2 linked regions of the Coturnix japonica genome follow. The protein of the gene in region 1 interacts with the protein of each later gene in a biochemical or structural test. Links are inferred from orthologs where the notes say so. Each region holds a gene or a part of one and is shown in the gene's direction. Other genes may lie near its edges.

Region 1 (3,511 bases):
TGTTGGATCTGTGTGACTTTTCTCCTTGACAGTAGTGAGAACTACTGTGCTGCAATAGGGCCTGCGGGACCCAAACTGTAGGGCCTGAGAAGGAGGGAGGGATGTGCAGGACTCTGCCATTGCTTTTCCTGCATGCTTCCCCACATTGCTGCCCACCTGCAACCCCTGTTCCTGCACATCAGCTGTCTGTTCCCAGTTCCCTTCTGGAGGTGTGCCCTGGTACAGGTGCTGCTCTGACAGTGTCAGTGGCATCGCCTGGTGTTGCACAGAAATGGATCTGAGAAGGAGCAGATGGGTTTTCCAGGGTTTGGTGGAGCAGCACCCTGCAGGCAGGTTATGGGTAGGAACCCTCCTGGTGCAGGGTGGTGGGCATTGGTGCTTGCTGGGTTGGTTTGCTCGGCACACACAGCCATGTCTGCAATCTATAAATTTTGTCTTGGTGGTTTTTTATTTTTTTCATTTGCAGATACTGGCTCTGCTGACCTTGAATGGAGCTTGCAGGGGAGTAAATAAACGCTGGCTAATTGCACATTAGGCTCGTTTGTCACTTCTAACCTTGGCAGTTGCAGTATCTGGCTGGCCTGACCTAGATAGGGCAGGAGCTGTAAGGAACCCTGTGCTGCTTCAGGGTTTCCCCAGCACACATAGGGTGTCACAGGGCCATGAGTGCTGGCAGTGTCCCCCTGCAGCTGGGGAGAGTGGTAGAGCTGCATTGCCAGTGGTACTGTCTTCCTCTTTGGAATGAGGGCCTGTGCAGGCAGCAGGTGATGCCCTGTGGGATACCACCCTGAGGCTGCAGGCAGGGGGTTCTGGAGTCTTTTTCTGCCTTCTTCCCTCATATATCCACAGTTATTCCCTATTCCTACCCTGCCCTGCTGTGCTGGACTCATGTGCTTGCTTGACTGCCCTAGAGCTGAGCACAGCTCTCTACTTTCCCACGTGTGAGCTGCCCCGTGCTCCCCTTCCTCCCTGCTGGGCTGACACCGCCAGCTCCTTTCAGAGGATCTGCAGTCACACAAAAAAACGTGAAAAAGTGAGGCTGTGTGAGGACAATGGTCCCTTTCAGCCATGCCTGGAGCTGGAGACCAGCAGGGATGGGCTCATCTCCTGGTGCTGGTTTCCCTTATCTCTGCTGTCCTGTCACGCAGGGGGATGAATGCACGGATCAGATTGTTGCTTTTATAAATCTGCTTGGGAAGGGGGGAGGTGGGAGGGGGGAAAGTGTCCAAATGGGAAGAGTGCAGCAAAGGCAGTTGAGACATTGCATTTGTGCTCTGGTTCTTGGTGCAACCCAGCTTTCCACCTTGAGTTCTCAGCTCTGTCCCTGGGTGTGGGGGGAGAAAGAAGTCTCAGGTAAAGGGGTGAGGGTTTGCAGGGCTGTTTATGTGGTAGAACTGCATGTCCCTTGTGAGGGATGAAGCTAGGCAGCAGGATTCAGGATGTGTGTTGTGTGATGGAACAGCAGGCTTGCAAGTGGAGCAGAGGGGATGATGTCCACCTGTGTGTATGCAGCTGCCATGGGCAGATCCATCATTTAGGTGGTGTTGGAAGGAATTGTCACTGTCACCCATGGCTGCAGGCTGTGCTATCTTGAAGGATCCCAAATCTCTGCCCTCCTCCCCTGTTGCCTATAGAAACAGTAATGAATGTGCACCGTGCAGTGAAATGGAAGCTGCAGGAGAGCACCAATGGGCAGAGGGGTCTGGAGATACAGCTCTCCAAGAACTGGGGAGTCTCTGGGCTTCTGCTCACTACTTCTCCTTCTCCTTTGCAGGTGGTGCAGCGTATCAAGGCAGTGGAGACAGAGACCCGCCTGCTGGTGGTGGACAAGGAGACAGATGAGTACCTGTGCAGCCTGCGCCTGACATGCACAGAGGAGATGGCACACAGTGGGATCCTGCTGGGCTCCAACATCTCACCCTCCAAGTCAGTGGGCAGCGACAACGGGGAGGTGTGGAAACCACAGCTGGAGCTGAGCGCAGGCAGCCTGCAGCGGCACTCACACAGCTTCTCCTCACACGGCAGCAGGAAGGTGAGGGCAGAGCTGGTGGCACAGCGTGGGGTTGGACAGCAGGATGCATCCCATTGCAAATGTGCTTCCCGTTAGCAAACCTTCTGTATGTGGCTCTGGGCGTCTCAGTGTGTCCCAAAGCTGTGGGTGAGCTGCACAAGGCCTTGTTTGCTCTGTTGGAAGCAGTGTTGGCTGCTCCTGGAGGAGCTACAGAGAGCTGAGGTGGGCACCCAGCCCCCTGGGGACAACCAGGCTGCCCTGGCTGATGTCCTTGTCCCTTGTTTGGGGACAGGCAGCACAGGCTGTGGATGTGGTGGAGCTGGACTCCTTAACTCAGTCCATTTCTTCTGTGTTACTTCTAGGATGGAGGGAACAGCTGGGTTGAATGTGTTCTCAGCTTTTGCTGGAATAGGAAGGAAATAAGCTCTTTTTCAAGTGGTCTGAGTCTGGGCTGTGATTTTGCAGTAAGCGCCTTTTATTGGTAAACTCCTTTTCAGCAAGGAAAGAATTTGAGGTGGAAGATGTCCAGTTTCCATGGCTGGCTCTCTGCTGGGAGGGCGGTGATGGCACAGCCTTGCACGCACAGATAGGCAGCACTCAGCCCCGGCACTGTCCATGCATGGGATGTGAACGTGGCAGCCACCACCATGCAGCTGACTGTCCCCACTTTAATCACTGAGGGGGTGAATCCTGCAGCCCCGTGGTGCTGCTTATAACCAGGCTGTGCAAGGCTTTCCCTGCTTCCAAATCCAGCTTTAGCACTCGTTGTCCTCAGGAGCCCTTGTGGGGTAACAGCTCAAGCAATTTCTGCATGGGGATAATGTGTAGGGCAGAAAGCAGAGTTATGCATGGGGTTCTGCCTCTGACCCTCCCCCCCTCATATGGAGTTGCTTGTGTCAGGCAGAGCTGTGCTGGTCCAGGGGGCTGCCCTTTCTGGGGGTGCTGGAGGATGGGCTGTGGTATGAAGGTGTTCAGAGAGCTCTGGGTGGCAATGGAGGTCAGTGTTGTGCTGCTCATAACCTCCCAGGGTGGCTGGTGGGACAGGAGAAAGAAACTGGAGAGAGGGGGGCTGCAGTGCAAACAGCCGTGCATGGCTTCCCAGGCTGGGGGTTTCCTATCCTGTCTCTGTTCCTTTTGCTGGGTGAAATCCAACAGTTTGTGCTGACGGGAAGTTGGGCGCGGAGAACGGGCTGGTCCCTTCCGGCCTTTGGGTTTCGGCTCCTCCAAGGAGAGGGTGGGACAGGGAGAACTGAGAAGGCAGGGGGGTGCAGTGGGAGGGAGTGCTTGAACCCCCCTGCAGAGGGGCTGTGGGGTTGGTGAGGGTAAGTGCATGGAGCAACTGCTGTATTTGAGGCTGGTGGTGCCAGAACCCATGCTGGTATCCAGCCAATGCAGGTCCCAAACAGGACATAGTGACCCATAGGGGCTTTGCCTTGGGGAGAGCTCAGGACAGAGCTGTTCCAGATAGATTCCATCCATGGGAGCCATGACTACTCCTGG
Region 2 (4,244 bases), on another chromosome or scaffold:
CCACACTGTACCTGCACTTTGGCAAGGAGAGAGGCCAAAAGCAGTTTAATCACTTTATGGTTTGAGCTGTTCTACATCTTTTCAAATGTTTGTGGTTTTAATGGCAAATATCATCTCTGTGTCAGCTTTACAAAGTGCAGCAAATACCTTAAGCCATGATGGCAGCTATTAAGAGCAGGGGCGTGCTGTCACAGAGAAGGAAGTCTGCTCTCCAGGAAATGACCTGGGATCTTTACTAACTGGAAAAGCTTATGGGCTTGGCTGAAAGTGCAGCACAAATTTCAGAAGAAGCTGGAGGCCTCAAAGAGCCTTCAGAAACCCAGAGCCATGTGGAAGAAGCCCGAATTGCACAGGCAGATGTAGCCTGCATCTTGCAGGGATGTGTGCTGAGCTTCTGCTCACTCCATCATTTCTTGGTTTAATCATTGACTGAAATGTGTACAAACCCCCTGAGATCAGCACCTCAGGCTCCTCCTGCTACTCCCTGTGTGCCTGGACATCCATTGGGAGCACATGGGGTGCCCTGCTCATACCATTCTCTTCACCAGGAGAGGAAATCTGTGCCTACAAGGCTAGAACAGGCTCTGTTCTCCAGACCAGAGGAGTGCCTTAAGGAGATGAGCACTATATGGCTGTCTCTGTATTCTAGGTATCAATGGCTGAAGGGTTTGTGATGGCATGACCTGAGGACTGTTTTCACCGGGAAACTTTGATGCTAAGGTTTGCTCAGCACATCAGCACAGGCATCAGCATCAGGGTTTGGTGATGTCCTGAAATCAGGTACCTGCTGCTGGAGTTGCATGCTGAGGCATCAGCATGTTATTCCAGCCCTCCGTCTCCTTAAGAGGTTTTAGGTATTTCAGAGGAGTGCTTGCTCAGCCTCAGCGGCCTCAGTTCCTCAGTCGGCAGTGAAAGGGGAGAAGGATCCTGCAGAGCAGCCCAGCTCAGCCCTCCTGTACCACACACATGTCACAAGATGCCACAGCTGCCACAGCTCTCAAAGCTGTCCCCTGGAAATCCCTGTCCTCACCTCTGGAAATCCCTGCCAAGACTATTCTGCAAAATGATCTGAGCATTCCACAATTGTTCCTGGAGAGACAATGATGAGAGTCTTGGAGATACCTGGGAGTAGAGCTCACAGGGCACACCTTGCCCAGAGCTGCCATGCCAGCAGCCCCATTTCCATACCACAGGTTGTGTTCTTTAGAAATGAAGCAGCTCTGACTTCTGGGCTCTGGTCGGCACCTCCCACTATGCCCAACAGAACCCTGGCAGATGCACAGCAGAGGATTGCAACAGAGTCCTTCTTACTCATCTCTATTTTCCTACATTAATCTCTGCAGTCCAATCAGAAGCAGTTCTCCAAACAAAGTTAAGCAATATCCCAGAGAACTTTAAGAAATGACTCTTATCATCCCTCCTGAGAGTAGACTCAATGGTCAAGGCCACAGTGAAATCTTACTTTTCTTGTAAAAGTTAACCGAAGTTAGTTATTAAAGTGCTGCCAGTATTTAGGGAAGCTCTGAAATGAAGAGCAGCACAAGATACCTGTGCTGCCTCTGAACAATTCAAGGATATCTTCCTCTGTACAATTACTGTGTGGTTTCTTCTGAAGAGGTTCATAGAAAACACATCAGGTAAGATTTTGGCTTGCCAATCAGGATATGGGATACATGAAGTAATGCTTATAAACAAAATGCTCCCAGCCAAATCGTGTACTTCTTGTAAGATGTGAGAGGTTCCCTTGTGGAATTTGTTCGTATGTTTCAAATGTTTATATTGTGGAGAAATAGATGTTATAAGTGTGTGTACAGAGACTGAAAAAGGGGGGGAAATTGTTAATATTTAATTGTTCTGCTGAAGTTACCAGATTTTTGTGTGCTACTTAGCCAATATTGAGGATAAATTAATAAAAGGGAGAAAGCACTTCTCAGCAATATGACATCAAAACGTGCATTTCCATTAGATCACAAATGCAGGAGCTCAGCAGGGGAGCTGGACTTAGTGTGAGAAATGGTAATGCCAGCAGTGAGCACGGGGTGGGAGGCTGTGTGGAATACAGCTGAACTAGAACCTTACTTATGGGTTTGCATTTGGATCTAGTCTGTCAGAGGGGAGTGAAAGTTGCTAGTCCGATAGCTGTGCAGCGTGAGCTTGGTGTGTGCCCCTTCTCTCCATGGCTGGATGGGCACACTACACAAGTCATCACAGAACTGCTCTGATTAGCATCTCCCACGCAAGTCCATGGGCTTAACGATGAGAGCACTCCAGAAAGGCAGTGGGAGACACTGAGCACACATCTCTCCTTTAGGGGATTTGCAGAGGATGGGATCCTTCACCACACTGCTACTTGTATATCCAGGATTTCCCAAAAACATCTCAAATAATAGTGCAGTCAGCCGTAAAGCTGCCCTTACGAAGGGTATCCTACCTTTCTGAACGTAGCTGTGAAGAAAATGAGAGTAAGGAAGAGGAAAGCAATACAGACTGAAATTAGGGTAGCTGAGAGCTTTGGCAGCCCAAGGAAAAAGAGAACAAGATGAGAAAAGCTGGAGGGCAGCCAGCAGCAGTGAGCACAGAACACAGCAGGTGGGTGCCCAAGGTCTCACCTGCCCTGCCTACTAACAGGTGAAAGGCACTGCCCAGCCTTGGGGTACCCTCAGGTTTGCTGGGCTAAATTCAGGATGGAGAATGCAATGTGGCATGACAATCTCCAGAGCAGACCCATGTACAAATCCTTCTGATGAGACCCTCCAGGCAATGATCCAGGAATCCTTTTGCACAGCTCAGCTAAACAGCCAAAGCCAGGAGGAGGGTCATTGAACTAGGGTTTCTATCAGGAAAGAAAGAAAGACACGCAAAATACTTACACCTTCAACAGGACAAGCATTGATGAAACAAAGGATATTTGGGGCAGAAGAACCAGTGTGAGGAAAGAATCGAGGCTGGGCAAAGGGCAGGGTGACAATCAAAGCAGTAACCCCCACACTTATTTTTCTGGCTCATAAGCATTTCAAAGGATCCAAATAGTACATCTTATACCCTCCAATGTAATGAACAAAGCTATTCAGCAAGTTCCTCTCTGCGATGTGAGGTCTGAAGGACTGATATGCAGACTGGGAAACAGAGCAGTCCTACAGTCTTTGACTGCCTAAATTTCTTCCTGAAAACCTACATACATTGAGGCTTACCAGAGGAAGAACAAAATGAAGCAAGTTTTTCATTTCAGTGTCATCTGCCTCTGGTTTTGGCACCAAGCAGAGGGAAGGATGATAGTACACAGCTGTAGGGTCAGGATGGGATTTCTCTGGCCAGTCTTAAAAGGCAGGATCAGATGGGAAACATGTTAAACTCATTGCCTAAATATGGAATCTTTATGAGGAAAAATAGCATATCCACAGAAGACAGCACGTATGAGACATTATTTGGGCTTCTTGATATCCACAAATTTCCCCAGAATTAACTAAGAGGAAATTAAAACTGAGTTTTCCTGTGGTAGAACAGTAACAAGCCCTGAGCTCAAGCAAAGCAGTGAGCTGCAGGGTGAGATTCACATTTTAATGCAAAAATCGTCACAAGATAAACAGTTTTCCACCTGCTCATAGCAACACACACCATCTTGTGCTACTTGGAGTGAGTCCTGTGACACGTCCAGACATTGTGTCCACAGAAGTAGATGTACACGTAGGCTGCATCAGTGCAGTTTAGTCACCACACCTGGGTGAGGAAAGGGTGCCCCATTTGAGGCTACCAGCAAGCAGCAAGGCAAGATGGAGCTTTTGTCCTAGGGGAGAGAAAACAGGAATGCTCTGCTGTCAGTGTCATGAGATGGCCAAGAGCAAGTCCTGTTGCTCCTGCCTAGGACTGCTACTGCGTTAAATATTTCATGGTGACTATGGTGGAGTTAAATGTTTTTAGGTGACTTTATTATGGGAAGAACGTGAGGCACTGAGGGAAACATAACTGAGCACTGTGGGCAGCACAGTGACAGAGCCCACTGACTGCAACCAACCTCCCATCTCCGCAAGTGCAACGTAGGAGTCAGAGTCATTACTGGAGCACAAACACACCGAAGTGGGCTGGAACAAAGCAGAAGGTAATAGTTAGGTCTGACACTGTAAGAGCTGTTTGTGAGCATGAGGCAGAAGCACAGGGCAGCTGAGGCTGGCAGGGCCCTCTGGCCCATGCAGGGACACCCAGAGCAGGGTGCCCAGGGTCAACAGTGGAGAAGCAGTCCAGACTAC

Evidence for each region. The genes of interacting proteins can lie anywhere in the genome.
Region 2: the proteins of SLC9A3R2 (region 1) and SLC26A3 form a complex in vitro, tested with the Homo sapiens proteins (2 studies listed by BioGRID and IntAct, with this or other methods). The link is inferred for Coturnix japonica from reciprocal best matches to the Homo sapiens genes NHERF2 and SLC26A3.

The regions. Positions count from the first base shown.
Region 1 is NC_029529.1:6,192,137-6,195,647, forward strand, and holds part of SLC9A3R2 (Na(+)/H(+) exchange regulatory cofactor NHE-RF2), read left to right. Parts: intron 1-1,774; coding exon 1,775-2,032; intron 2,033-3,511.
Region 2 is NC_029516.1:13,315,478-13,319,721, reverse strand, and holds the start of SLC26A3 (chloride anion exchanger), read left to right. Parts: upstream 1-1,439; 5' UTR 1,440-1,637; intron 1,638-4,244. UniProt on the Homo sapiens protein: Mediates chloride-bicarbonate exchange with a chloride bicarbonate stoichiometry of 2:1 in the intestinal epithelia. Plays a role in the chloride and bicarbonate homeostasis during sperm epididymal maturation and capacitation.